Linked DNA regions of Lepisosteus oculatus. The main gene of each other region encodes a partner of the protein of the gene in region 2 in a complex. Links are inferred from orthologs where the notes say so. Each region holds a gene or a part of one and is shown on either strand. Other genes may lie near its edges. The genes, in order: rbl1, ccna2, cdc6 and cdkn1bb.

What was found.
Region 1: the proteins of ccna2 (region 2) and rbl1 are in contact, whole or in part, in a crystal structure (PDB 1H28), measured with the Homo sapiens proteins. The link is inferred for Lepisosteus oculatus from reciprocal best matches to the Homo sapiens genes CCNA2 and RBL1. Residues at the interface, in NP_001228.2 of Homo sapiens: Met210, Ile213, Leu214, Asp216, Trp217, Glu220, Glu224, Arg250, Gly251, Lys252, Leu253, Gln254, Tyr280, Ile281, Thr282, Asp283, Thr285, Tyr286; in NP_002886.2 of Homo sapiens: Gly654, Ser655, Ala656, Lys657, Arg658, Arg659, Leu660, Phe661, Gly662, Glu663.
Region 3: the proteins of ccna2 (region 2) and cdc6 are in contact, whole or in part, in a crystal structure (PDB 2CCH), measured with the Homo sapiens proteins. The link is inferred for Lepisosteus oculatus from reciprocal best matches to the Homo sapiens genes CCNA2 and CDC6. Residues at the interface, in NP_001228.2 of Homo sapiens: Met210, Ile213, Leu214, Trp217, Glu220, Val221, Glu224, Tyr225, Arg250, Leu253, Gln254, Glu277, Tyr280, Ile281, Thr282, Asp283, Thr285; in NP_001245.1 of Homo sapiens: His89, Thr90, Leu91, Lys92, Gly93, Arg94, Arg95, Leu96, Val97, Phe98, Asp99, Asn100.
Region 4: the proteins of ccna2 (region 2) and cdkn1bb are in contact, whole or in part, in a crystal structure (PDB 1JSU), measured with the Homo sapiens proteins. The link is inferred for Lepisosteus oculatus from reciprocal best matches to the Homo sapiens genes CCNA2 and CDKN1B. Residues at the interface, in NP_001228.2 of Homo sapiens: Met210, Ile213, Leu214, Asp216, Trp217, Glu220, Val221, Glu224, Met246, Arg250, Gly251, Lys252, Leu253, Gln254, Leu255, Tyr280, Ile281, Thr282, Asp283, Thr285, Tyr286, Thr287, Gln290, Arg293, Met294, His296, Leu297, Lys300; in NP_004055.1 of Homo sapiens: Lys25, Pro26, Ser27, Ala28, Cys29, Arg30, Asn31, Leu32, Phe33, Gly34, Val36, His38, Leu41, Thr42, Asp44, Leu45, Glu46, His48, Cys49, Asp51.

The regions. Positions count from the first base shown.
Region 1 is NC_090711.1:748,590-756,104, forward strand, and holds the start of rbl1 (retinoblastoma-like protein 1), read left to right. Parts: upstream 1-4,514; 5' UTR 4,515-4,981; coding exon 4,982-5,146; intron 5,147-6,773; coding exon 6,774-6,907; intron 6,908-7,176; coding exon 7,177-7,377; intron 7,378-7,515. UniProt on the Homo sapiens protein: Key regulator of entry into cell division. Directly involved in heterochromatin formation by maintaining overall chromatin structure and, in particular, that of constitutive heterochromatin by stabilizing histone methylation.
Region 2 is NC_090696.1:10,719,415-10,727,204, forward strand, and holds the start of ccna2 (cyclin-A2), read left to right. Parts: upstream 1-4,789; 5' UTR 4,790-5,176; coding exon 5,177-5,386; intron 5,387-6,124; coding exon 6,125-6,371; intron 6,372-6,686; coding exon 6,687-6,799; intron 6,800-7,018; coding exon 7,019-7,242; intron 7,243-7,331; coding exon 7,332-7,536; intron 7,537-7,723; coding exon 7,724-7,790. Other genes in the region: bbs7 (Bardet-Biedl syndrome 7 protein), read left to right, coding at 457-590. UniProt on the Homo sapiens protein: Cyclin which controls both the G1/S and the G2/M transition phases of the cell cycle. Functions through the formation of specific serine/threonine protein kinase holoenzyme complexes with the cyclin-dependent protein kinases CDK1 or CDK2.
Region 3 is NC_090723.1:9,685,916-9,693,052, forward strand, and holds the start of cdc6 (cell division control protein 6 homolog), read left to right. Parts: upstream 1-4,126; 5' UTR 4,127-4,215; intron 4,216-5,646; coding exon 5,647-5,797; intron 5,798-6,518; coding exon 6,519-6,866; intron 6,867-6,948; coding exon 6,949-7,137. UniProt on the Homo sapiens protein: Involved in the initiation of DNA replication. Also participates in checkpoint controls that ensure DNA replication is completed before mitosis is initiated.
Region 4 is NC_090702.1:5,914,506-5,921,674, forward strand, and holds the start of cdkn1bb (cyclin dependent kinase inhibitor 1Bb), read left to right. Parts: upstream 1-4,160; 5' UTR 4,161-4,462; coding exon 4,463-4,931; intron 4,932-5,498; coding exon 5,499-5,617; 3' UTR 5,618-5,627; intron 5,628-7,169. UniProt on the Homo sapiens protein: Important regulator of cell cycle progression. Inhibits the kinase activity of CDK2 bound to cyclin A, but has little inhibitory activity on CDK2 bound to SPDYA. Involved in G1 arrest. Potent inhibitor of cyclin E- and cyclin A-CDK2 complexes.

The DNA.
Region 1 (7,515 bases), on a different chromosome or scaffold from region 2:
GGTTCAATTGATTGAATTGTTCTGTAATTAAGAGCTCTGTGACCCTCAAAGACAGAATTACAGTTGTCACAGCAGCGGTGCTGCACTGCTGCAGGAGTGAGGGAGATGATGAGCGTCAGTGCTGCGCTGCTGCAGGAGTGAGGGAGTAGATGAGCGTCAGTGCTGCGCTGCTGCAGGAGTGAGGGAGATGATGAGCGTCAGTGCTGCGCTGCTGCAGGAGTGAGGGAGATGATGAGCGTCAGTGCTGCGCTGCTGCAGGAGTGAAGGAGATGATGAGCGTCAGTGCTGCGCTGCTGCAGGAGTGAGGGAGATGATGAGCGTCAGTGCTGCGCTGCTGCAGGAGTGAGGGAGATGATGAGCGTCAGTGCTGCGCTGCTGCAGGAGTGAGGGAGATGATGAGCGTCAGTGCTGCGCTGCTGCAGGAGTGAGGGAGATGATGAGCGTCAGTGCTGCGCTGCTGCAGGAGTGAGGGAGATGATGAGCGTCAGTGCTGCGCTGCTGCAGGAGTGAGGGAGATGATGAGCGTCAGTGCTGCGCTGCTGCAGGAGTGAGGGAGATGATGAGCGTCAGTGCTGCGCTGCTGCAGGAGTGAGGGAGATGATGAGCGTCAGTGCTGCGCTGCTGCAGGAGTGAGGGAGTGGACGAGCTGAGTAAAGATTGAAGGAACAGGTGGGAAGTTTCCCCTTGTGTCCAGTGCAGTGGAGGAGTTTCTACTGAACACGAAAGGACTAATGCACCAGCAGAGTGTTTAGCTTATTGTAAAGTTTTAGGGTGTCCTTTCTCCTGTTTTACATATGAAGGTAGATTTGATAAATCTATTACTTTTAAATGATGTAAAATCTATATTTTATTTTTACAAGGTGCCCTTGTAATTTTGTTTAATTCATTATACTGTGTTTGACACAATCAGGACCAGTTGTCTCCATGCTTGTAGTACTGTCCTTTCCACTTCATAGTTTTACCTCTCAGTAACTTCACACCTCGTTGATATACTAGTGTTTGGCATCTCTCTTTATTTTATACTGAGAGGCGTTTAGAAAGGCGATGAATGTTACTGGATTTGGTATTCATTTGTTGCGTTTTTAAAGCTTCTGAGTCCGTTTGCAGCTAAGCCACTTTGACAGAACAGTTGATTTTCCTGTGTTATGTTACATGTTACATGTTTTTGCACAGAGAAGCAGGGCGTGGCAGGCTCACTGGCATCTGGAGGTTTTCTTTGTGGTTTTCCTAGTGTGGAAGCTCACCTGGAAACTGTGCCTCTTCCTCATCCACAGCAGGTTCGCACTGTCATCAGTCTCACTTTTCACAACTAGCATTGATGTTGCCTTGAAACAGCTGGTGGCTTTTTCCTATTTTCTTATTTATTTTGTTTTTTGTTTTTGCTTTTGCCAAACGTTACCAAATATAATGAGAAACCATTATCATTATCGTCCTTTGTTATTATTTAGTTATATTGGAAGTACAAAATGCCTTATTTAGAGTTATGCCTATGGATGTTTCTGTGCATTTCCATATTTGAAAATGTATATAAAAGTACTTAGTGTAGAACTTCATTTTATCAAAACTGAAACCTGGTCTAAGAATCTCACTGGCCTGAGTTCCTTGAAATTTCCCTTTAGTTGTATGCATACTTTTTTTGCTTTCTTGGTAACCTTTTTGCTTCTGGATTTAAAAAGCAAAACGCACAGTACATAATAATAATAATAATAATAATAATAATAATGCAAAGACAGGTGTTCCAATCTGATGCTCTTAATATTTTCTCAAGTGATCTCATAAGCACAAAAATCTGAGGAATTTCACAGATCTCTGCTGCAAGTTCACATGAATGTTCTTTTGTTGGTGAAAAGTGATTTTAAGCGATCCCTTTTTTGTGCTTCCCAAAACTGTTAGACTGCCTGAGCATGGTGTTACTAATTCTGAGTAACTTGGCACGTTTGCGTGTCTTCACCACCGTCATGATACTTTTCAAAACCCCGTTGAGCTTGGCAACAGAAGGTGTGTGCATACAACTAAACTGGGTGGCGCAGTTTTAGTTTCCTGCCCCTCTGACACAAGTCTGGCTGGAGCGTTTGGACTCTCCTCAGAAAAAAAGAAACAGTTCCCTCAGCTATCACGTCGGCGTCGCAACACGAAGACAGTGGGACAAGCCCAGCAGCAGCTGACCATCATCACCCGCTCACAGACAGGACCTGTTCCCTGCGTTTGCTGGGAGAAAGACTTGAATCTCTTCATTGGAGCAGTAATTAAGGGCAGCCGAGGTCACAGAAACTGTTAGTATTTATTCAGTTTACATTCTGTCGTTTGTCGCTATTTACCATGTTTGTATTTTTTTTTCTGTTACAGTCTTGCTAATTTATCCAAAGGTCAGATTGTTTTTGGAGTCGTGTGTATTTCAGATGTATTTATTGTACACTTCTTTCTTACCAGTATCATTTTTATACCTGTATTCTAACTTATAAGGGGTTCAGAAGGAAAACCTGCAGGATCCAAATCTCTTTTCGACACTGACGCTGTTAGTTTTCCTTAAAAAAAAAAATCTTATTTTTGCCTCCAGTGGAAGCAGGGATAGTTTGCAGCAGATTAAAAATGAAACTTTATTGTACTGAATAATGAATTACTAGGCAAAGAATATCCAGGCTGTCTGAGTGTCTCACTGTCTGTGACTGTCAATCATAGCGTCTGTGTCTGTGTACTGTATTAAAGCACCTCCAGTTAGACTTATTTCCTATGTGAGTCGTTTTCCATTAATAAATAAATGTGAATAACAAGCTATTTGAAAGTGGAGTTATAATAAAAAACATATTTATATTCTTGACCTGCAAGTTCTTATTTTTATCCAGAATTTTTTTTATTTCTCATTTTTGTTTAGGTCAGGTTTTTGTCATTTGTAATTAGTTATGCACTGGTATCCCAGCACCTGTACTGTACTAGTTAGAGCACAATACTAAATAGTACATAGTATAATTAGTAATGTAATCCTACAACACTAAAATCACTTATTTACTCCAACAGAAAGGAAAGAGGTTTCCTTCTGACACAAAGCCCTATCGTTTATCAATCATCACAGATTTATGACTCTCATCTTCGGCTGATGGTATACTTTAGTAACTAATAATGTGCGATCTGTTGTTCTAAAACAGGGCTCTTCAAGGTTAATTGTCAGGAAACATTTTGGTATTTTACCGAATTTGTCCTTGTAAATGTCCCATTGGGTGGCACTGTGACACTGTGGTTAGCATTGCTGTCTCTCACCTCTGGGGCCCTGGGTTCAATTCCAGACCTGGGGGTGCTGTCTGTGTGGAGTTTGTATGTTCGGCCTGTGTTCATGTGGGTTTCCTCCCACAGTCCTAAAAAAATACCGGTAGGTTAATTGGCTTCTGGGAAAACTGGCCCTGGGTGCAAGTGTGTGCTTGTCTGTGTTTGTGTCTGTCGTGAGATGGATTGGCACCCCATCCAGGGTGCATCCTACCGGAGGCCCGTTGCTTGCTGGGATAGGCTCCTGCTCCCCCGTACCACTGAACTAGAAGAAGTGGTTAAAAAATGGATGATTATAAAACCCTGACATCACTGGCCATGCCTAGAGCATAAAGTTAAAACGAGCTGGTGTGTCTTCTTGCAAGCACACATTTTGTGTCAACAAGCAAAACTGTCAGCTTAATTCAGACAGTGTGCCTCACAGAGCCCTGTTTAGTACGGTGTTTAGTTCTGGGAGTTTATTGCATGAACAGACAGTGTGATGCTCAGATGGGGCTAAAGGTTTTTTGGACCACAGCCACCTGCACTGGAATTGTAGTTTTCTTTTAATGCAGTGATGGCCAGTGGTTAGCCACCCGGGTGTAATTTTTTTTTCTCCCTGAACCCAAGACTATTCCGGATTGTATGCTACAGAAGCAGAGTGTGTTCTGTGTAGATCTGAAATCTGCCTCTGCAGCTTTTACGGCGTTAGTTTTTATTTTGTTGAACTAGCTCCTGTATTCCCATGTGGACCAATCACATAACTCAAAACATGGTATGTGATCTTTTATTGTGCAATAAAAGATGACTTTCAACTTTCACTTTAAGTGTGCCTTCTGCTTTTGTGTTAGGGGAACATAACCTGTAAGAACAGAGCAGAGTTGAACAGAACAGCTAGAATGGAATATGAATTTACAGTCTTTTATTGTTATTGACTTTGCTAGCATAAGCAGATTAAAGAAAATGACTGCAAGCTGAACCAAATTACGTGAATGTGAAGTTCAAGAGTTTTCTTTCAGTGATTTCTAATTGGACAGCAAGCATTGAAATATACCTGATAAGGACACAAGAAATCTTAATGAGGGGAGACTATCTAGTGCATTCACCTCGTTTGACTGGCAGTTTGATGTCATTGGGTGTCATTTAGCTCTATTCTTTGAGGAGCTAGGGTGTTACATTCAACAGCATGGGTCTTAGTATTTGTCACTGTCAATACCACAGTTCTCACCATAAGATACTCTCATTTACAATTGAGTCTTTATTATCCCCGGGGGAAGGGGCAAGTTGTTTTACAGCAGCAGTGTTGGTGTACTGACGTACAGAAGAAAAAACCGACAGGAACAACAAAATACATATTTGCATGGAAGTCAAGTGTTAAATAATGATATGGTTACGGGTATGAATGATTTAAATCGTTCAAAAATAATCTTTTAAAACATTGGAATAACCTAATTACCAAATTCAGAGTTGACCGACTTCTCTATACCTTTATCCAAACTGTTAATCTAACGGAGGACCGATACAGCACCACATTAGAGACAAAGACAGAAACTTCGGTAGACTACAGTGTGTATCCTGGGGCCGCCATGTTTGAGCGGCGGCGGTGGAGGACGGGGTGGATTTTCGCGCCACTGGGGCCGCGCGGCATTGTGGGATAGCGGTCCTGGAGCCGGAGGGACGGAGCGGGGGGCTGCGCTGAGGTAAACAGGCTGCGCTTTCGGCGAATAGACCCGGCGGCGGAGAAATGCCCGAAGTCGGCACGGAGGCCGGGTCCGAGCCCCGGAAAGTGGACGAGGGCCACGTCCGGCGGACCCTGGAGGCGCTGTGCCAGGAGCTGAACATGGACGAGCAGACGGGCAAGGAAGCCCTCCAGAGTTTCACGGCCATCTGGGACACATACACCCTGGAGGTGAGGCAGACCCAGGATGCGCCGCCGCTGCGACGTCTTTACGGGTTTTATTTTTTTAATTCCAAACGCAGTAAGCGCCCGGGAAGCTCTCTTCGGCAGTGTCCGTGTGTGTGTGTGTTTGTCTGTCTTATTGTCGTTTTGTGTTTTGGTGTCTCTCTCGCCCCCCTCCCCCCGGAGGTCGTTGTTAGCGCGCAGCCGGCGGAATGAACTTCGGCAGCTGAGCTGCACCGCCAGGGTCGCGCAGTCTGTAAACAACACACCCCCGTCTGTCCCCCCGAAACGGGTCTGTTTCCCCGCACCCCCCTGTCTTCCGCCTCTCCTGTGCGCAGCGGAGGAGCAGGACTGTGCCCGCCCGGCGACTCTGTGTTTGTTTACGTGGGGGTCCCGGCTGACATCGCTGGCCCAGCCCGGTCTGTTGTGTGCCGGCAGCGTCAGGGGGAACATGTCGGAGTTCCGATGTGATTTCCGAACCGAGGACAGGGGCTGGTCGGGGCTTTAAAGGGAAGCGAGGGGCGTGTGTGGGAGACACGGGGCTGCCGGGGCGCCATTGGCCGGCGCGGCGCAGGGGGGGGACGGCGTGTGTTGTTGTGTGTTGTGTGTTGCTCTTGCTTGTGTTCGTAGTGGCAGGCTGTGCGCATTTTCAGTTCGAGGTCTCGAAGCGCGAAGTATTTATTATCTCAGAGGCGCAGGTAAAGGTGATTTCCAGGCTGAAAAGGAAAGCAGCGTTTTCTCTGCGGAGCCTCCTTCATGGGGCACCTCTTTTTCAGCAGGGAATAAACCTTTACCTGTTCCTTTGCAGCCTAGGAGAAGATAGGAGATCACCTCATTAGCCATACACAATTTCTTCATAAGAAATACATTTTAGCCTGGAATAAATTTGTCTTTTCGCATACACCAAGTTGCTCTCCATGAGACACACGGACAGGGAGAGAAGCTTGGGGTCAGAGCGCAGGGTCAGCCATTGTACAGCGCCCTGGTGCAGCTGGGGTTAAGGACCTTGCTCAGGGGCCCAACGGAGTAGGATTCCTCTGCCGGCCACGGGATTTCAACCGGCAGCTCTCCAGCCACAGGCGCAGATCCTGAGCCACAGAGCCACTGCTCCGCCTGCGCATGCTGATGCAGCCAGCTACTCGTATTTCTTCTTGGTAACAGTGATGCTTGTTGGGGAGTCGGTAGGTGTTCAGCATCTTTTTAAACTCGGAGCAGTCTCCCTCCCCCCAAAGAAAAATCTGACCAGGCTGGAATAGACATTCTTGAAACGCAAGCTGACGATGGCTGTACCCTCCCATCTGTGATATGAAGCCCACACCCATTCACGCATGGAAGGAAAGACAAATCCAGGAGCTCTGTGACGGGGGAGAGGGGGGTTTCCTGTTTATCCTGTGTGTAGCTGCTCTGGAGGTTCTGGTCTGTGATGCTCGTCCTAAGGATTGTTGTTATTAGGTTATACCATGTATTTATTGTTTTGTTTATTGTCTGTACATTCTGTCACTATGTTTTGTAATGTATTGTGTACATTGTGTGGTATCTGCTGTGCTGCGAATGTCCTGAGAGAATAGTGTGGATAAGAATCCTATTGTATTTATGGGAAATAAGATAATATAATAATATTCTGCTCATCCTGCAGGGTGAAGTGGCACACTGGCTCGCCTGCTCTCTCTACGCCGCCTGCAGGAAGGGCTGGACCCCCACAGTGGGCAAGGGGGTCATGGAGGGCAACTGTGTCTCCCTGACCAGGATCCTGAGGTCCTCCAAGCTCAGGTGAGCCCCCACTCTCCCCAGGTCACCGGATTAACCTTAACCGTTACCCTTTTCCGCCCATCTGAACGCCAGCACTGCTGCTGTAAAACAAATTGCCCCCTCGGGGATAATAAAGACTCCCTCTCAGAAAAGACCAACTAAGAATGTTTGTTTTTTTATTCATGTGGTCTAGAAAAGCTGTTCTAACATGTGTCTCTGCAGTTGAATTCCCCGACATAACCTGCTCTGTTTTCTGTCTCCCCGTTTCTTGTCTCTCGCCCGGACCCCAGCTTAATACAGTTCTTCAGTAAGATGAAGAAGTGGGCGGACATGTCCAGTTTGTCCCGGGAGTTCCGGGAGAGGATAGCACGCCTGGAGAGAAACTTCGAGGTCTCGACCGTGATCTTCAAGAAGTTCGAGCCAATATTTGTGGACATGTTTCAGGATCCTCAGGGGGAGCCGCCTCGGCCGGCCCGAAGCAGGAAGCACAGGTACGACCCCCTCTCTGTCCCCGCGCGGCCTTGGAGCCGCCATCCCTGCAGCAGCTGGAGCGTGGGGTAGTGTTGCTGTTTACTTCAGAATGGCCAGTTCCTCTCTTCTAATACTCCACCAAGGTGGGACTGATGTTG
Region 2 (7,790 bases):
TATAAATGGCTGACCCTGCGCTCTGACCCCAAGCTTCTCTCTCCCCGTCTGTGCCTGTGTGTCTCATGGAGAGCAAGCTGGGGTATGCAGAAAGACAAATTCCTAATACAAGAGATTGTATATGGCTAGTAAAGTGATCTTATCTCTTATCTCAATGCTTAAAATGCAACAGAAAAGACAAGTATCTAATTATCCAAAAGGAAAATGTATTTTCTACTTATCGTGGAAATAATTCTTTAGGGTAGTTATTGGATGTTATGTTATGTTCTCTACCATGCTTTTTAATTTCAGCAGTTGTTTTCATGTTATAATCTTGACTGACATGTTATAATATGTTTAATTTTAAAAATGTATTAAAAAACATACTAGTGTCACTGCAGGAATAAAGAAAATCTAACTTTTTCTACAGTTCCGTATACAGTATTACATTTAAATGTTAATGGGTTTTTTTTGCAGGTATGATTACGGATCTCTTCATTGACAAATTCAAATTTAAAGGACAGAATGTCAAGACTAAAGTACCATTGCTGCTTGAAATCTTGGACAACTATGAACTGAATTCTTTAGTGGAATTTTTTGATTCAGCATAATACTGAGATGTAAACAAATCATTGAAGTTTCATCCAGTGTGGTATGTTTTTCCTAAGAAGCTACAGTAACATTTTTTAAATTTTGTGTTGTATTTTTAAGAAATGTTATTTGGAAATACAAGGGAAGTTATTGTTTCAGTTTTCAAAATATCATAATTTTCCCTGATACTTTCATACATTTTAACTCTGTAAAATTGATGTATTTATAAATGATATGTACAATAGTTGAAATGTAGTAATATGCATAGAAATTATATGGAGTGGTGTTCTTAGCAAGTACGGAGTTGGTGTTGCAATGAACAGTTCATACAAATATTTCTTCTGACTTATCATTCACATCTATTCCAAATACTTGAGCTGTATAGTGAATATAAGAATTTGATTTTCTAAATATATGTTAATGTTAATATTTTTCTATGTTAAATAATTCCAGATTAATTTATGTATACAGTTACCTTACTCTCATTGGGGCATATAACATTTGTGAAATAATCTTAAATAAACTTAATTATAAATGTTTAATTGTCAGTTTGAGTTATTCTATTAAATGAACAGTCCTGCTCAGGATAAATTAAGTACCTTTCAATGAAGAGCTGCAAACTATATGTCTGTCACTCAATAGTCTTGTGAATACACAGAAATGTTGTGATATGCTGAAGATTTAAGTGATTTTTCAAGATGAAATGTAGGTTATAATCAGGTGGGATGCTCTTGGTGATCAGGGGGGCATTTTAATATTGGATCTGCTGAATTAACACCTGGTGCAGAGCAACCCAGGGAAATTAATGAAAGTGCTTTCCTGCATTGAATTGTCTGCCTCCCAGGCTTTACAGGAGGAATAATTCAATCTTGATTGCAGCACAAAAGTGATTTGCAGGTACTTTAATGGTTTGGTGATGTAAATGCAAGGATATTTTAAATGTAGGCAATCTGTGATAGTGAAGAACCAGTGTCAAATAATTACTCCATAGGGATCATACAGACTTTTTCAGGAATACTATGTTAAGAAGAAGTAGCATTAAAATTGGCTATTTGATGTTCATTAGGTACAACTTCCATTAACACCATTAAAGATACATTATGTGCGTGAGTGATGTGTTTGTTTTTTTTGCAAGAAAAATATTATCTGTACTGTATCTGTAGCATAGGATCTTTGTGAATGTGTTGATTTAATGCATAGCTTTAAATTAACTACTAGTAGTATATATGTAAACTTGAAGAAGGCTCCTGAAGAAGGCTCCACGGCCGAAACGTTGTGTTCTCTTTCTTCTTTTTTTCAGCATGGAATAAACCTATTACTTGTTCCTTATGTGTAAACTACTATGTTTATATGTAAACATACTGTATACTATGGTAAACTAGACATAACATTTAATGTTTTTTTTAAGCCCAAGGATATTGTTTGTATTCACATACTAACCCTGGCTGCCAGCAATTAGTATATCAAAATAAATCATACAAACACCTGTTTTTTTCAAAGGTTCTTCTTCTGTTCCTGTTGTTAGGATGTTAAAAATTGCTTTCCAAGGAACGTTTTAATACATTTATTAAAAACTCCATGTAGTATTCCACATTTCCAAAGGTGTATTAATTCCTCCATTTTCGAACCACTTTATCCGATACAACCTTGCGAGGGTTCCAGAGCCTACCCTGGCAAGCAGCAGGCTCAAGGCAGAAAACACCCTGGACAGCATTGCAAGACACACAGAGACACACACGCGCTCGCACCTAGACTAGTTTCTTTAGAAGCTAATTAACCTATTAGTATGTCTTTGAACTATGGGAGGAAACCCCTGCAAACACATTTAAACTCCAAACAAAAAAACACCCCAGGAATTGCCCCCAGGGACCCAGCGCTGTGAGGTAGCAATGCTAACCACTGTACAGCCATGTTGTCCATGTGTATCAATACACAAGGGTTCAATTAATAAAACCTAAAATGTAAGAACCTAATTTTGAGGTGGCAAAAAAGCATCCGTATTATTTGTAACCACAAATTCATATCAGATTACTCTGAAATCCTAAATAATAATAAGTCTTACATCCCCTAAAACATCCTTAAGGGGATAAAATCACTTCTTCAGATCTAACTAAACACCCCAGGTTAACATCAGAAGTTAAGGTACTTATGTGCTAAGTTGAGTAGCTTTTTTGTACTTTTGTGGCTGATCTTGGAATTAATGTGATCAGTTAACTGGAACAATAGCATCTTAATTTGCTAATCCATCTTGGTGACTCCAATCAACAAGTCTACATTGCAGACAAATTAAGGCAATAATTAAGAGGTTACAGAGCCAAATCGTTTCACAGTTCTGGTTTGCAGTAATCAGAAAATGTGCCCTGGCTGTATTTAACATTTCAACTAATCCATCTTATATTTAAAATTTGAATTTGTATCATGGAAAATTCTGAAATTAAAACAGTTTAGGATTTAAAGTGGAACAGTGTATACCAATTATTGCTGTTATTACTACAGTTTATGTTTAGTTTTGTGGAAAGTGACTTTTAAAAATGATCCATTACTGTTCAAACTTGCAATTGAGGTAAATTGCAGCACATTGATTTTGTGTTACTTTACATAGCAACTAGGAGTAAGTAAAGATTTAACTCCACACTAAGAAGCAGAAAGAAGACATCGTTTCGGCTGTTGATCCTTGTTCGGGTGTATAAAGCACAGGAGGACAAAGGACTGGGAAGGTGAGAAAGAGTGCAAACGAAGGGAGGTCTGGGGGAGAGGTGTGAAAACCTGAAATCTGTAAATGAATGGAGAAATTCTAAAAAGACGAGGTTTGAGGAGAATCTTGGCTTCTCGTGTTTTTCTGTAGTAGGAGTCCCGAGGCCCCTGTAAAAAGAACTGTCAGTGAAATGAGAAACTATTGTGCTGGAGAGATCTTTGAGCCTCACTGCTCTGAACGGTATTTATAATACTTGTGTTTGTTGTAGAAAATATGTAATCAGGCCAGAAAAGAGGAACTTGATACATTCAGGGACGTAAAGGAATGACATACACTGACAGGCTGAAGGACCTTGAACAAAGAAGACCATGGGGGGACCTCACATAAAGATTTAAAATCCCCAAAGACATTGACAGGCCAACATCTTCAGCATGAACCAGAGGACACACCAGGAAACTATGTGGAATTGTATTTAAAACTGAGAACAGGGGACACTTCTATACCCAGGGGGTGGTGGGTGTGTGGAACAAGCTACCCAGCAATGTTGTTGAAGTTGTTTTCTTCTGATGTTCTTGGATCAATTAAGTACCAAACAGGCTAGATTGGCTAATGGCCTCTTCTCATTTCCACGCTTTTAAAAAAATTCTCCTGTACAAAGTAACTATACACACTTCATGGAAAATAACTGATGCCAAACCCTAAGTGAATCCTTCATTTTCCAACCTTTCTTTTTTTATTTTTGGAGTTATGATACAATTACATTTCATTTACATATAACAGAGATACATAAACACAAAATAAAATATAGCCTTTTTGTCCTTTTGAATAGTACAATATTGGACATTCTCAGTTTGCACATATCCACATTCAAAATGAATGGTAAACTGGACTTTCAAAAACCTTGGACTAATGCTGCACGTTGTAGACAACGTGGCCAGTTCCTAATGAAGTTTATATTTCAATATCATTAAAAAAATGTTTATTTCGGTACATTATAATACTTATGCATCGTAGGAAACTACTAATTATATAAAACTAACAGGAAATTCATCCTATTTTTTAATATTTGAAAAGGAAAATAACGTGCATTTAATGAAGTAGCATTTTTTTACTACTGTGTGTTGTATGAATATATACAATTGATGTCTATAACATTCTAGCTAAAACCTGGGGCTGTACCGTAATGGCCTAAAATGTGCTAAGTGAATCAATCAGTCAAAAAAAGATTACTTCGGCAAAATGTGAATTAATCACATCGTCAATCCAAATATTTAACATAACCTCAAGTGAAAAAAAATATATTGTTTGTTCAGATTACCCAAACACTTGAAACGATCTGTTATGACAGTAGATTTATAGTTGTTGTAATCAAAGTATAATACCGGTCGCTGACTCAATCATATTTGAAGGCTTTTGTCCCGGTTCTTGTGAGACTGAGCCCCAGACAGGAATTTTGGATGTCTGCGCCACCGTAGGTTTGGTGACGTAAAAGGTGAGGCCCGCTCGGATTGGGTGATTTCAATAGTCGCGGGCTACTTGAACAGAGAAAGCAGCAGTCCAGTAACTGCAGGAACTGGGGTTGGTGAGGAGTTGCAAGTTAATCTCTGGTTATTCGGATCGCTAAAAAACTGCAGCTCGAAAATACAAGAGACCCAGCATGGACAGCTGAAAGTGATACGTCTGGGGAGGCGGTGATCGGTTGTTTTTTTAAGTTTGTTTTTTTTTAATTCTAGACTTTGGGAGGGGTATTGGAGGACCTCTTCGTAGTAGAAGACTCTAACCCTGATGTTACAATTTATGTTTTTTCTGGTTGCTTGCTAGTTCATAACGTCACAATTGTTAACCCGGAACTACGGCGGTTGTTTTATTTTAAATTTTAGAACTTTATTTTAGCGTACTAGCTGAGCAACAATGTTTGGTATCAGTCGCGATCACGCTGCGAGTGACTTGCAGAAAAATCAAGACCGGGAAAACATGCTTCTTAAACAAAGGGCTGCTGCAAAACACCGGCTTGAAGATCAAGAAAATATAAACCCAAAAGCTACAAGCAGAAGTGTTTTGGGAGCTTTGCAGAACAACCAGAGAAGCGCAAGACCCCAGCTACAACAAGGAACAAAACAGGTTGGTCGAAGCTCTTTTAAATTAATAAACGATTAAATTATGCGATTTAAATCTAATCGGTGGTGATAATATACATTAGATAAACTTAATCTGAGGTTTTCGGTGTTTCATTGCGGTTTGCAGTCTATCGGTGTTGGTGCTCGTCTGCAATTTCTCCTTTAGTGTGGTTAACTTCTGAGATTATAGAAAGCCGTTCCGTTTTTAAAACGCACAGTGGTCAAAACACTTGATGTAGTCAAGGATCTAGATTAATCATAATTTATTACCTTAGCGCCACAGAGGCAAACAACTGTTTAAATGGCCATTTGGTGTTTCCCAGTGAACAGTCCGCCATTTTCAAGACGGCAGGTTACTGCTGTAACGAGCTCTACACATTGCAGAGACGGGATAAAATTGTGGGATCACTTGTTTTGAAGTGTACTAGTCAAGTTTTCGCTGACGTTTCCGAAGATTCTGGTTTCCCTTTTCCACGAGAAACTAATCGCGCGTCCGTTTTCAAAAAATGCATGCAAGCCATTTCTCAAGTTTAACTTAAAAGGCCGTGGTTTACGTTTCTGCATTAATCTGGATTTTTTTTTTGCATTAACCTGGAATTGCCAACGTTATAGGAACTTGGACTGTAATTCAGTGACCCGCCATTTTAGATGATTATAGAAGCTCTACCTGGCCAATATGGAAATGTATGTAAACGTCCACTAATACTTACTGACGCAAGATGTTATTGTTTTTTGTTCTCAGGGCCATTCGTGTCAAGTGCTGTCCTGCACAAATTCTGAGAACCATGGCCGGGATCCTTCAGAGAAGATGGGTGCAAAGCAGCCCGGTTTCACAATTCACGTGGATGAGCCTGATGGTGCTTGTACCAAGAAGCAAGTGGCCTCCAAAGCTAAAGTCCTCATGGAGAAGCCTCTGTTTACAATTAACCCCATCGCGGGGAACAGACAGCCCCTTTCCGTTATTGAGTGCCCTCTGGATGCCAGTTTTGGTAGGTGTTTCCTGAAACAAGAATGGCTTAGCTTTAAGGAGGTAGCTCCTTGGAGACTGACTTGCAATCAATGGGAAGATTTATAGTTTTAAACCAAAAGAAAACTTACCTCACTTAGCTAACAGTGCTTTTTACTCTTTAACCCTTATGTAACCAAGCCTAGGCTTTTGTAACAAGTGCAGTATACCCTACCACTGTAAAGAAAGAAAGCAACTTCTCATAATTCTAACTAATTTAGAAGTTGGTATCCATTTTAAATCATAATGGCATAACCCCATTGTACTAATTCTGGGCTGTACTTGCTATTTTTTCCAGATTCGCCAGTGGCTATGGACATGTCAGTATGTGATGCTGAGGAAAAACCAAGGGATGCAAATGAAGTGCCAGACTATGCTGTAGAGATCCACAAATACTTAAGGGAAATGGAGGTAAGAATGGATTTTTTTTTCCACAGGCAAACTTGACACTTATATTAGTTTGATTTGAATGCTTGTTGTGGGGCTTCAACTTCCAAATGAAGGTAGAATCCCTTTCCACTGAGGGGAGTATGACCTCCAGCTGATCCAAAACCTCTAAGATGGCTATGTACAGGGGGATTCCAAAACCCAAATGTTTTAACTCTTCATTTTAATTGTTCTCTTCCTCAGATAAAGTCCAGGCCCAAAGCTGGCTACATGAAGAAACAGCCAGACATTACGAACAGCATGCGAGCCATCCTTGTGGACTGGCTGGTGGAGGTGGGAGAGGAGTACAAGCTGCAGAACGAGACGCTCTATTTGGCTGCGAACTATATTGACCGCTTCCTGTCCGCGATGTCGGTCCTGCGGGGGAAACTGCAGCTGGTCGGGACGGCAGCTATGCTGTTGGCTTCGTAAGTCTCACTCTACCACCTGAAACCCCCTTTTCAGTTGATCCTCTTCCCCTTGTATGAGACCTGACTTGGTTCCCCATTGTGTTCAGGAAATTCGAAGAGATCTACCCCCCAGAAGTCACGGAGTTCGTCTACATCACGGATGACACTTACACTAAGAAGCAAGTGTTGAGGATGGAGCATCTTATTTTGAAAGTGCTGTCTTTTGATCTTGCTGCTCCTACAATCAACCAGTTTCTCACCCAGTACTTCCTTCATCAGCCAGTGAACCAGAAAGTTGAGAGCTTGTCAATGGTGAGTTGATGCCAACGATGTTTATTTTTATTGAAATCCCTGGTATTTCACTTACAGGTTTTTAGTTTCCAGAACATACATCACAGACCTTTTGTAGGTCTTCCTCTTTATTTGTTTTGCACTTCTATAGAAGTGCAGAGATGTACAGAATGCATTCATGTCTTCATACCTTGTTAATTTTTTGCAGTTCCTGGGGGAGTTGAGTTTAGTTGATTCGGACCCGTTCCTGAAATATCTCCCGTCGGTTACAGCTG
Region 3 (7,137 bases), on a different chromosome or scaffold from region 2:
AGAGGAAGGCCAAGGGATTTTATTTTGCCACATTGTCATGCTAGAAGCCAAGGTCTGCACTTTTAGCCCAGTTGTGCTGCAGCACTTGGAAGCTCCTGCAGAGGGCGCCGTGGAGCCCGCCAGAAGCCCTCAGTGCTTGCAGGGTACGAGGGTGGGGGCACGTGACCTTCCTTCTTCCGTCGATCTCTCGACCTCTGGACACTTAAAAAATAGCCAGCTGTAGTAACTTTACTTGAGGTGTTGGGTTTCATTTTTTAATTTTTTTTTTTTTATATCTATGGCCACTGTCTTTGCACACCCCTCCTCGCCACAGCCCATGATCGCCAGTGGGATCCCGACTGGTTTTTGACCCTGTTCTGTTGAGACCAGCAGGCATCACCTGCCAGACTGGCAGGACTCTGCAAGGAACACTCTCGCTGCTGGAGATGTTATTTCACGACAGCAGGATCCGCGATCCTTGAGCTGGGAGCGTCTCGTGGTTCTTCAGCGTCCTGCGGACGGAAGGAGAGGTCCCCCTGGAGCTCCTCCAGAGAGCAGGGGGGCCTGTGGCCCGTGTGCGGTGCTGTGCTGGACCTGACCCGACTGGACCAGTCCCAGCTGGACCCTGCTGCGCCCCTGAGCTTCCACAGCCCGGCCGCACTCAGGAAGGGCGGAGAGACTCCTGCCCCACCCAGTGCCAACGCGCGCTCAGTGCTTCTGCATCCTGCGCCCAGATCTGCGCTGCTGCTTGGCGAACGGCCAGCCAGGTGGCATGTCTGCTTTCCAGTCTTATTCTGAAAGGCTCCCCGTGCAGAAACCTGACCCATCGGCCACTCTCTCTCTGTCTCCCCCCCCTGCTGAGGCAGTGAGAGAGCCCAGCTGGACCGAACAGAACACTCCGGGCCAACCCCGCAGTCTGCTCCGTTTTTCCTTCCCTTCTCCCAGAAGCGCCGGACACAGTTCGCCTAAGGGATGGATCGGCCTCGGTGGAGAGTGTGGAAGATTGGACTCTTTTCATGATGGGCGGCTGTGTGAATCAGTAGCGGTGTTGGATGAGACAAGCTTCAGGAAAAGTGCTTTTGCCTTTGTCAAGCTTGGCCACTTCTGCGTTTCGCTTGGCGGGGGGTGCGGGGCCAGGGCGGAGCTGGGGGTCCGGCTCTGCAGGCTGCCTGCGGAGGCGAGGGGTGGCTCTGGTGTGTCGGGGGGTTGGAAGGGCAGAGGCAGGTACTGGGGGTCTGGGGTACTGCCCGCTGCTTGGTGTGGTTTGACCTCTGTCAGAGTTCAGGCATATGCATTCATTCCGAGATGTTTTTGAAACGGTTTACCGCTCAGGTCTAAAGGCAAATTGTGAAGCTCTCCTTGATATCTAAGGACATCACTAATGGACTAAATTCTCTTAACAGTTTGCAGATTGAGGCTGGTTCTGCAGTCGGTCACTCCTGGGAGTTGTGCAGGCACCAGCCTTCAGCAGAAGTCATAGACCTTAAGGCTGGTCTTGCAGCAAGTGCATCATTACTGAATCATTATTGCAGTGTTAGTGTACCTTATAGGTGACTGTAGCCTTTCAAAAGGGTTGGTTTATCAGCTTCCCTGTGTCCGGACTGTCAGCATGCCAGTGTTCATCATACATCATACAGTAGGCCATTCTGTGCTGTAGGTTCTTGCTCCTGTCAGTGTCCTATAGCTGTGCAGACATGGTAGGGTGGATGTTTGCACAGCCACCTTTAATGTGCAGCCTCTCAGTTGCACAGATCAGTGCTGATTTGTTTAGGTACTTTAGTTGCAAAGGAGACACAAGTTGTCCATCCTGAGAGGGCACTGGAGCAGGTGAATGCATGTACTCTGGGACAGCTGGAGCGTAATGCATGGAAATGGGGTGTGCTTGAGGTACCCCAACTCGCCTCACCTCTGCAGGATTGTGTGTGTTGGGGGTGGGGGGTGGGGGGTCACTCATTCCTGGCTGTTGGCTGCTAGTTCTGCTTCCACGCCTGCTGCCCCAGGTAAACTGGTCATCTTCTCAAGAAACCCGCCGATCGCCCTCCCACGTGACCTGAACTCTCCGAGCTCGCGGCGCCCAGGGGCGGCGATGCATGAACTCTTGGGGGTCCCCGTCTTCCCGGACTGGATGCTATGCAATGGGGGGGGGAATTGGGGTGGCTGGTGTCAGTGGGGTCTTGTTTCGGACACTAACCTGATGCATTGGAAGACTGTGCCAGTGATCCTGCTCTGCTCATGTTAACAGTGTTTTTCCATTCTCTTTTCCCTTGGTGTGGGGACTGGGAGTGTCCCTTTCCCTCTGCTGGCCTCCCCCTCTCTCTGCACACAGAGGACGCCTAGACTTCTCTCCTGCTCTTATTTTTAAAAGATTAATCTTAGTTGGTGTCTTGCCTTATACACTACTATTGTTTGTTGGTACAAGATTTATCAAAAATAAATGACGATAATAATGTATATTTACACTACGACTATGGGGAAATATGGTAATCATAGCTATTGATCTATTTTTTATGTTGTAAAAAGCTTGTAATATAGGAATAAAAAGGTGGGCTTGTACAAAGCCAGGGACCGATTATTAGCCAGTGTCTGTATCCGTTTCTGTCTATCGCTGTCCGCCTCACTCACACCGCAGCTGTTACTGGGGCTGCTTCGCTCGCAGTGAGGGGGGCTCCTGCCCGTGTTCAAACGAGCTTCTGTGTCTGTCCTTTCTTTCAGGGCCATTTCATTGTACCTGTCTTGTCAGCCACGTTGTACCAGTTCAAATAAAATGAAGATAAAAACGAGTGTGTGAGTCACGCGTTCGTGTCCGCGTTGGCAGGGTCCGGCTGCAGGAGTCCAGCTGGGGCGTGCAAGCCCTTCACTCGAGGTTTCTGCAGCTCTGACCTGAGCTGGGTCTTACTATTGGAAACGGAAGAGCATAGAGTGATATCGGATTTTCGTTTCTTTTTCTTTAAGCTTCACCATGTTATGCTCGGAGTTAATGGGATGATATTTTGTGAAAGCAGTGTTTCCAGCTCCTTGCAGGACAAGTCTAGAAGTGGATTGGGAGAGTTGTGCGAGATGAAACGCTGCCGAACGACAAAAAAAATACTGCAGGAGTATCGGACAGTGTCTGTCTTGTATCTGATCATCGCTTCAGAGACGGGGAGAGCCACATGCTTCATCTAAATTGCAATATTCGTTTTGCTACACGTTGTGAATAAGTAGCGATTATTGCTGAAGGTAAGAAACGAGTGCGTGACAGTTAATATCACGCACCTAGGTTAAAGGTTAGGTTGTTTTAAGGGCTCATTGAAGCAAATTTCGGGAGACGGGTTTGTTGAGAGCCTTTTAAACGCAGCCGGCGTGCACCGCAGGATTGTAATCATGCGTCAGCATGCGTAGGCTGCCAAGGAAGAAGTAACAGGTTTATTCCAGGCTGAAAAGAGAAGAGAGAAAACACGTTTCGGCCGTAGAGCCTTCTTCAGCTGTGAGGCTGAGCCTCAGGTGTCAGGCTCACACCTGAAGAAGGCTCCACGGCTGAAACGTTGTTTTCTTTCTCTTTTCAGTATGGAATAAACCTGTTACTTGTTCCTTTGCATCCCTTCATTAATGCGACTTCCTTCATTGCCCAGTCAAAATGAAGTTTATGTTGCAGATACTGTATTTAAAAATATAACTGACAGTAATAAGCATGCAGACCGGCAAACGCGCCTATCCTCTTATTTTTAACTTATTTTAAGTCATGCCGCGAAAATGACCCCTTTGACAAATCTCCCGCCACTGCCTGTACATCCAACAGCGCATCATAACAAGCGGTAGCCAATGGCAGGGCGTTGTGTAAACAGCCTGGGTTTTGTAGGCGGGTCGCCGATGCAGTCGACCAATCAAGCCTGCGGCGCTCCTTCAATCGCAGGACGTAACTGCCTCACTATCCAATCAGGCGAGGAGACGGGCTGCTCGGCGTGTTTTCCCGTGGGTCTCTGGGGAGACTCTCGTTGGTTCACAGGGGAAGGAGGGCGTGGTGCAGGGGGCGGTAGTTTACTGGATTCTCACCAATGAGAACTTGGAAAGTGCGGACAAAGCCTGAGGCTGCCCAATGAGGGCTGAGAGGAGGCGTTCCCGAGTCCAAAGCGGGAGGAGTTAGGAGGCTTTGGAAGCTTTTGGCGCTAATCGTTCCTGTATCTCAGAGTTTGCAACAGGACACAAGACAGTCCTTTAAAAGGGTTCCTAGGAGATTAAATTGACCGATATTTTAAGGTAAGTGGAAATTATAGTTCTACGTATATGTATGATCTCTTCGTCTTTTGTCTTTTCTTCGGGTCTTGCCTAATTCAAGGGTAAATGGTCATTTTGTATGGCGCCAACTCTTAAATAGCAGCGATTACAAATGATTACAGTTTCATACAGCATCACAGTGCCAATACAGACACTGATCCTGTCGTAACCTAACCTAAGTCCTAACCGTTCGCTTGGAAACTTGTTAGAAACGGGGCGCTGTGTAGTGATTAAAAACTGCAAGCGAGAATGTTTGTGAGTGCTGCTGGCCGTGGGCGCCAGTAACCGCGGGAGCCAGTCTTCGCTATTCTTACAGAAGACAGGGTTGACAGAGAAAAGGAAGGTTGACTGACCTGACCTTCTCTGGAGTTATTACGGTTTTCTGCTCAGTATTTGTTCGGGTCACACGGGTTTTCTCCTGTAAACACACGTGGGCGCCGGGAGTCTCCAGGACTTGGCGCCACGACCGCAGGCCGGCCTGTGCGACTCCCGCGCCCGTCTGCACAAGGATCGCTCCCTGAAATCATTTACAAAGCTTGGAATTTCCCCGTTTGCAGTCGGAATGGCCTTCAGTGGTGCAGTTTCAAGGCTGTAAAGCTCCACACTGCAATACCCGCGGTCCAGTTTGCGTGATAAGCTGCTGTTTGGATTGGGTATTGATGATCTAGCACATTCGACAGCAGCCGCGCAGATCCTCCGGTAACTCTGGGTTTGTTGGGGTCTAAAGTCTTCAGACGCGATTTCTAACGAGGTTAGAGCCTGTGTGTCGTCGATACTGTAGTCTGTTTACGGCGATGCAGGGGCCGGACAAGGGCTAACGGGCCCTGGAGAGACTCTGGCGAGAGTCGTGTCACTCGGGCGAGTGAAATTGAACTGTGAAACCAGTTTCTTCGCCTGTGAACGTACGTTTCCCACGAGATTCAGGACCTTCAGTGAGAAAAAGGGAACAATAAAGATTAAGTTTCTTAAAGATATTTCAGACGCGGGAACCTATTGTTGTAGGAGTAAGACGCGCCACTGTTACGCCGTGACCTGGCGTCGAGCATGAATGACGTCAGTGTTGAGCAGAGGTTCCTGGGCCCGGTGAACCCCCACACCTGCTGGTTCTGATCCAGCCGAGCCCCTTCACTGACGTACTACTAATAAGATTATTTTGCCCTTGGTTTTTTCCCCCAGCTCTTAAACATGCTGGTGATTTAACTGTTGTATTTTGTAAAAACCCAATCTTGTGATTGGAAACAAAATGTAAATATTCAATTGAAGCACCTTCTTAGCTCAAGTAAGGCATCAGTGATCTAATGAAAGCTTGCTGTAAAGGTGCTAGCTTGTCACTTCCTGTCCTGGTTCTGCTCTGAAGACTCAATCCCGCGCTGAAGGCTGCTTCATCTCAGACCCGCTGTCTCTGTGTTGCAGATGCCCACCACCAGGTCTCGCAGCCAGCCCACGCTCCAGTACCCCCGCAGGAAGTCCTCCAGGGCAGCTGCGGCCAAGCCCCAGCCTGTCGCCCGAGCCGAGCCCCCGCCCAGCGGGGCTGTGCTGCCACTCAGCCCGAGGAAACGCCTGGGTAAGGTCCCCTCGATCGCCGCGTCTCCCGCTGTCGCCTGCGTGGGGCGCCAGGTCTCTGCTCTGCTCTGCACTGCCCAGCTGCAGGGTTAGTCAGAATCGCTCAAAGGCTGGGTTTAGCAGCCGGTGGTGTCGCTGTTAGTTCTTGTTAAAATGGAGCATGATTTACTTGCAACACCTTGAGAACTGTAGCCCCCATATATATCTTGCATGAATTCTGATTCTTTAGGGGCATGGTGTTGCAGTGGTCAGCACTGTTGCCTTACAGCGCTGGAGTAAGCACCCCGAGTTCAGTTGTGGTCCTGGGCTGCTGTCTGTGTGGAGTTTGTATGTTCTCCCCAAGTTTGCTCAGGTTTCCTTCTCCTAGAGTCCAGAGACATGCTGGGGGGTTAACTGGCTCCTGGGAGAATGTGCCCTGGGGTGTCTGTGTGCGTGTCTGTCCTCCAGCAGACTGGCTCCCCTGCCAGGGTGGGCCTTGTGCCTGTTGCTTTCTGGGACAGGCTCTGGCTGCCCTGGATTGGAAGAGCAAATGGATGGATTGATAGTCTGTTGAAAGTGCTTCTTGTTTGTAGCTGAATCGTCAGATTGAAGCTGAGCGACGGGTATTTTCAAACTTATTTTCCGACGGCAGGTGTTGCTTTGCTGCTGGGTGGCCCACTAGTGGGAAGCCGAAGGGTTTGGGCGGGTGCTGATGCTTTCTTTGGGGGGTCTTCCCTGTGCAGGAGCTGAAAATGGGTGCAACCTGCCCCCGGGGGTCCTGGGATCCCCCCCGAAGCAGAGCCGGCTGAGGGACCCCTCCCCCGCGCGCGGGTCGCGCAGGCTGAGCTTCGACGAGAACGTGCCGTGCCGGGACGCGCCCTCTCCGGTCAAGCCGGCTGCTCCCAGCTGCCCCGCTGAGGTGCCGAGCTCCCCGAAACTCGGGACCCCCCAGCGGGCCTGCACCACCCCGACAGCCAAGGGGTCCCCAGCGCGCTCCCCGTTCCGCTGCAGGCAGGAGACGCCGGGCAGCTCTCCCGCCGGAGCCCAGGGAGAGAGGCGCCCCCCCGTGGTGCGGCTCTTCGCCAACGACAGTGAGTTTCCTCCGCCCCCCCCTTTCCTCTCGCCGCCTCTCGGGGGTGCTGCCCGGGCTCACTGTCTGCCCCCCTCCTGCAGATTCCCGCTTCCAGCAGGTGAAGCAGGCTCTGCACACCTCCCTGCCGGAGAGGCTGCTGTCCCGGGACCGAGAGAGTGCCGTAATCCGCTCCTTCCTGTGCGAGAGGGTCAAAGGTCGGCGCCCGGGCAGCCTGTACATCTCCGGAGCTCCGGGCACAGGCAAGACGGCCTGCCTGACCCGCATCCTGC
Region 4 (7,169 bases), on a different chromosome or scaffold from region 2:
AATTGCCTTTATTGCATTTATGCTTTGCACACTGAACAGTCACGTTGAGGCACGATGGTACATTTGAAAAATGTTTAATATTCTGATTTACCCTAAACTTTCAGTTATATATATATAACGATCAATGTTTTCATTTCTTTGGTACTGTCTATAGAATCCACTCCCAGGCACAATAAGGCACACTTTAAATTCTTTCCCCTTAAGAAAACATGTCGGAGCAGACAAATTTATAGCTTATTTTCTTGGGGGGTAATTTCCATACCGTTTTGTTTAATTTGCGATATGAAATGCACTCATCGTTTACAACTGTGTACTTTGGTAAAAGCTGACCAAATGTTATTCTATATTTACAATACAGTGAGACTTTTATTATGATAAACAAACATAATTATATATTGTAGATGCAGGCAACACAGTGGTACAGTGGTTAGCACTGCTGCCTCGCAGTGCTGGGACCCTGGGTTTAATTCCTGGGGTGCTGTCTGTGTGGAGTTTGCATGTTCTCCCCATGTTCACTTGGGTTTCTTTCCAAAGTCCAAAGACATGCTGGTAGGTTAACTGGCTTCAGGGGAAAATGGTGCGAGTGTGTGTCTGTCTGTGCCTTATAATGAACCTTTGTCCCATCCAAAATATAACCCTGTACTGGATGAAGCAAACGGATGGCTGGGTTTTACAAGACCTTTATTCTAATTTCTAAAATAATCTATTGTGCAGAAAACAAACAAACAAAAAACATTAAAAGGTCAAACTGCATCCAAGGAGTAAATAATACAGAACAAGACATGTTATGACAGCCTATGGTCAAGAGATTATAATGCCGAAGCTAGAAATGCAACTCTTAACACAGCCTATTGAACTGTAGCCTACAACAAATAATGTGCCCGTAAAAGACATGTTGTTGAGAAAAAAGCAAATCGATATTTGCCTGCATTTCCTTGCTCCTAAAAGATCAATTCAGCATGATCAGCATTCTTTCCCCCCAGGGCATTACCTCATCTCACATGTTCTTCTGCACGTCAACTTTATGACCTTGTAAACTCTTTGAGTAAACAACACGCACAATGCCTACTGTGTGCCATCATTATGGAGGAATATGCCAATATAAAAAAGTATTTACTGTAGCAAAGTTTAATCTGACAGTGATAAGACAGTGCCAAGTATGACGAGGGCTTTGTGCAAGAGTTGAGCACATACATAGCATAGCAAAGCTAACTCTGCCTATTGTAACAAAATCACATCAGTGCCGGATCTCCCATTAGGCACTGTAGGCACAGGGCCTACGAAACATTTTTAGGGCCTACGAAAGAGGGAAACACTAGTGACTAACGAAAAACGAGCTGAAACAACACGCTTGTGCTCGACTCGAGGTGCTCCAAATCAATAGTCATACTCTATCTAGCGGCTGTTCTCTCGACTCGCTCCATCAATCACGTGGTTTAGCATCAGAATAGTTTAAAGTACTGTCATGTCAGTCGGCGTCCTTCAATTGGCATTTATCCATCTTTTTGGAGTGAAAGTGCCTAGGGCCTACAAACACCAAACTCCAGCCCTGAAATCACATCGAAAATTAGTTCTGGTTTCTAATTTTATGGTGATGTACTGTGAACCAGTTGAAGTATAGTATGTATATTCTGTATATTCTGCAAAGGCAAATCCCACTTTGCTCTAAATTTATTGTTTTGCTTTTTGTGCCACTTACTTTACTTTGTACCACTTATTTCATTAAGTTAGATTCTAATTCTCTGTTGTACCCTTATGTAATATTCCCACTGAGAATTACTGCTGTTCAGTAGCGTAAAATGTTATTGATGCAGCACTGTAGCTACAGTATATTAATGCTCATTATTGGCACCACTAATCTGTAACTAAAACAACTGTCCTAAAGCTAACCTTATCCCTAGCTCTCAAACTAACAATGCATTTGCACACGACTGAATCATTGTTCCATTTCCTGTGCCAGCGACATTGACCTTTTGAACTGAACGATACTGAAGGCCAGATTCTTGTTAAATGGTAAAGTGTACAAATATATTTTTCATATAACTGGATGTGCAGCAGGTCCTGCAGTTTTAAAGTAAGAACAGAAACATTTATTTAGGTGTAAAATATGTCCACAATATTGTAAATTCTGGTAAAACTGGAATACCACCTATTAACAAGAGCTGGTGCTACAATCTCAATATATTTAAATCCACCTACACAAAGTTTTATCAAGTGATGTGCCTACACACTGTTTATACTTCTAACAGATAGAAAAATTTGGTTACTTTACATCACAGTCTCACACCACATTCTTAACAGCTCCAAAACAGATTTAACATTTTAACTGTTTCATTATTTGGTGTGTTAAAAGCTTTAAATTAATCCCATAATCAGTTTTTTTTTTCTGTATTCTGGAATATACCCTTGAAAAGACATCACAACTGCAACATGACATAAAACATGTTCTAAATGTAAATTTATAAACACGTGCCAAAGGGTCTCTTCATTTTATTTGAACCTGTACTCCTAAGGTCAATTACTTACTGACACAGCTTTAAATTGCTACCATCATCCACTCTTTAAACGTGACAGACCTCAAGTCAACAGTGCCAGTAGTATCACTGCAATAAAAAATATGTAAGTGACATCATAAACTTTTAACAGCAGTATTTAATTATCATGGTACATAATCTAAATAAGCATGAAACAGAAATAAGAAGAGAAACCAAATCACTCTAACATTCAACACGCAGAACAGATTCGAAATTGGAAACATTTGTTCCTAATTCTAGACCTTTGACTTTCCTGAAGTCTTTGCAAAGTTTTTCCCCCCTTTCCAAAATAATTTTTTACTAAATGTATTTATTTTTTTAGTTATGGGAGAAAGTGTTAGAACACGGTAGTTTTAAAGAGTGATAGTAGACCATTCTCTGAATATAGTACATTTATTATCCAAGGGATCTTTTAACGGGAAGCGTGAACCAAATGCTTTATGAGCGCCAAGTTCTTAATGAAGCTCATTATTTACTCATATGGTAAAACGGAACAACGCGTTGTTTGCTGCCGTGATACACTCAGTAACAGGTTTAGACTAAAAAGTCAATTTTATTACACAAAACAGCACAATTAATCATGTTCAATTATTGCATTGCCCGAGATTTTTACTTGCCACGGGAAACGTGACTCCGCCAAATCGTTTATTGAGCAAGGTTTTCGTCAATTAGTAGTGGACTAATAAAGGAAAAGTAAAAATGATCATTTCCACCGCATCCTACTGTACATTGGCACGGCACCATAAACATTGCATTACTACAGTTCAGCCGTACCCCTTTAAATCGACCCTAAAATGTGGCAGTCAAGCTAACAGCCTACTAATAACTGCCCCGTCTACCCAACCCATAGTATGATGGCGCTCAACCCTCTCTATACCTTTTTCTTTTTCGTTTCGTGGTTACTATTCCTTCGCCTGTATCACTCTCTCTGCTCGGGGAGTGACTTGCTTATACGTAAACAAAACACTTTAGATCATAGCAAGGTTGCTGCAGACACGCAGCCCCCAGTTTTCAAAAGCAACAAAACGCATTAAGGTGGACTAGGGGAGTTATCCCAAACCACCCGTTTCCAATCGCCTTTCGGGCGCCTTGTTTTGCTACAAAATGCAACGTGGTGCACGCCTGCGGAATTTATTCACGTTTAACACCTATAAGCCTTTGCTAATGCCAAGTCATGAGAAAAAAAAAACGGCTTGAGATTAGGGTCATTTATTCTTTCACGTCTCCAGAGTACTGTAGGTCAGTGGGAGATATTGCCCTTTTTTTTTTCTTCTGTATTAACGTTGTTGGTATCTGGAAGCGACTTTGCTTCCTCCGGCTACAATTCCTACTTCCGCCAAAACAAAACAAGCCTACCAAAGCTGGGCCGATCAGAAATCTGCGGATTTAAAGATCGCCGCGGAGGAATTTTTCCAAACGAACAAGAGATTCCGATGCATTTGGGCTTTTTTTTTTTAATGATACGAAGCTGCAGAGACCGTAGAAACGAAAAACAGCGGTGCTCACCTTAAGAAACGTGGGCGTCTCGCTTTGCTTTAACCAATGAATCTCCTTCTCTGTTTAAGTCGATCTCGGTGTCAATCATTTTTTTTCTCAGTCAGCCTCCCTTCAATCGCCATATTGGGTACTGAAAAGGCTTGTCTGTTTTTTTTTTCCCCCCCGTCTTACTACAAGACTAAATTGACAGGAGTGGCTTTTGCAACTGCACTTTGTTTTGATGGTCTGCGGAGATTACTTTTGCTCGCGTTACAGTTTTCGCACGTCTTTTTCAGATCACGGCATGCCTGCGCTGGCGTTGTTGCTTGCAATAATATTTGGCGTTCGTGTCGGATCGATTTGAAGGAGGCGAACAGAATTATATATATATATTTTCATTTACTCTTGTTGTTTTTTTTTTCCCCCTGGCGTGGAGAGAGAGGACAAAAAAAATGTCAAATGTCCGTCTTTCAAATGGTAGCCCGACGTTGGAGAGGATGGATGCGAGACCGTCGGATCACCCCAAGCCGTCGGCTTGCAGAAACCTCTTCGGGCTGGTGGATCACGAAGAGTTAAGGAGAGATTTAAAGGGACACTTGCAGGAGATGGAAGAGGCGTCCAAGGCGACATACAATTTCGATTTCGCGAATCACAAGCCCCTTTCGCCTGGGAGATACGTGTGGGAAATTGTGGAGGATACGGAGGTACCGCGATTCTACACGAAGCCGTCACGGGCGTCGAAGGGCATCTGTCCGTCTGGGAATATCAGTTTGGATCTTAATGGGAATCACAGCTGTGGGGGGACTGCGTGTCACGAAGGCACTGGGGACAGGCTTTCCGGGGACAGTGCGGAGAAACCGGCAAGTCAAACGGATTGCAGGGACCAGCGCACTACGCCGAGGAAAAGATCAGCAAGCCATGGTAGAGATCAGCTTCACGTTTACGAGAAAACAAAACAACAATAACAACAACAGCAAAAAAAAAGATATCGGGTGTATTTATTTTGGGTCGCCGATCTCACGGTTTCGGGAAAAAAAAGTCCAGATTTTAATTTTTTGTTTTTAAAGTGAAAGGCGTTGCGCGCATTCGAGGAGGTTTTCTTTTGTTTTCGTCTTGTATCTTATTTGATGTCGCGCTAATCGGAGCCGCGTCGGAGTGTTTCCGAGAGGCGAGTGGAGTTGCGTGCGTTTCGGGGGCGACCCGAGCGCAGGCACGTATCGCATGTCCGGCTGTTTTTCGTATTTTGTTTTTCATTTTTGGAGGTTTAAATGCACACGTAGTTGTGACACCGTCACATCCCCCCCCCACCTCCCACCCTTGCTGTTTTTGAAAGGCTTTTTTACTACGGCATGCAAATCCTGCGGTGGCGTGCGGGCGTCCAATTTTGAGACGGCGGACCAAAATACCGCCTGCCCGCCTCTCAAATGGTTCTGTTAAAAAAATAAATAAGAAATGCTAATCGGTGAATTTTGTCTTTCCTTTTTGTAGCGGACTCATCGCAAAATAAAAGGGCCAATACTACCGTGGATGAAGTTGCCCTGAGCCCTAATGTAACGAGGTCAGAGGAACAAACGCCCAGTAAATCCAACCCCAGGCAACAGAAGTGAAGATTTTAAGGTACCTTCTCGTCATTTTAATGTCTTGTAAAAAACTATAAACGTTTTCGCAGACGTAACTCACTACCGCGCCGCTTTAAAAAAAAGCTTTATGTTTCCCTGAACTGTCATTTTCTGGAAAATCTAGTCGCGTTGTCTCTAAATTGGTCAGGACGTTATGGTTGATTTCATTAGTGCATTAGTGTATGTTTCTCGTCGGCCGTCGCTAAACAACAGTGCTGTAGTACAGTTTGTAGTTAAAATAAATACATTTGAAATATGCCTTTAAAACTGTTACGGGGCTGTTTTTTTTCCCCCAAAAAAAAACGTTTTTCGTAGTTTTCGGGGAATGGTTAATACACAGCAGGTGCAGTCGAATTAAATTCATCTCTGGGTTTTTAGTGCTAGGCGAGTCTCATCCTGAAGAAGAACAGGCCAAAAACCTAATGCAGGCATAGAAAACTTAGGGCGTTAAATTTAATATTGTCTTGGATTTTGTTGGTGGAGAAACAGTGGTGTTGTCCAGGGGGGCTTCGTGTGTTCTCGCTGTGGGAGGGAGCGGGTTAAAATTTGCTGCGCCGCTTTTATATCATCCATTCAGAAAGGATGGCCGGGGGTGGGTTGTGGGGGGGACGGGACGGACGCTGGAGACATTTCAGCTCACGATCACTTGAAACACAGACGCAAACGTGTAAAAAAGGGGTTAAAAGCAAACAGATCTGACGTGTTAACTCAAGAGCGCTGTTGCCCTCCGAGAGTGAGCTCCCCTCGTATCTGTAAACAAGCGCCTGCACTGAACAACAGTAGTAACACGTCAGCAAGAGAGGCTTTGACTGGTGAAGGGGTTGGCCCAGTTTTCTTGCTTCTGTACCTGTTCCAATCTGAGAACGGCAGCGAGCACTTTCGCTCACAGACCGCTCCGTGCGTGCTTGCAAAGTAAGGTTCGCCAGTAAGGTACTACGAAAGTATTCACATTGCATCTGGGTGCGTACTTGTGAACCTTCAGAGGTTATAAATCATTGTGCGAACTGGTTAGCCAAGAAAGTAGAGATGTCAAATAAACATAATAGTGCTTTTGGGGAGATGCAACTGTTATTTATTTTTTTTTGTTCCAGGCACTTATTTTTAAGTGATTTTTAAAGGCTGTGATAAACAGATTTTTTTCTTTTTATTGTTGGGAGGCAAAACAGTGTCCACAGCTAATTGCTTTGCAACAAGTTTTATGTGAAATGTAATTGGATTGGATTGCAAATCTGTTTTATAAAAAGTGCCCCAGTTGGAAGATTTGATTTTTTTTTAAGTTTTGGGGGATAGAACCCTAAGGTAGGGATTTGATTTAATTTAGTAGCCTCCTTTTGTGTGCAATTTTTATTAAAGGAAACTGTAATACAAACTTGTTCTTAAGTGATACACAGATCAGTATTTTGGATCCTTCTTTGATTTCATTCAAAGTGGCTTAAAACTCCAGAGCACTGTGTCAGAGGATTGCTTACAAAGATTGAAAGCCTATTTTTCAGTTTGGTGCTAACGTGTCGTGATGCTGAATATCATGTTTTCTCTTTTC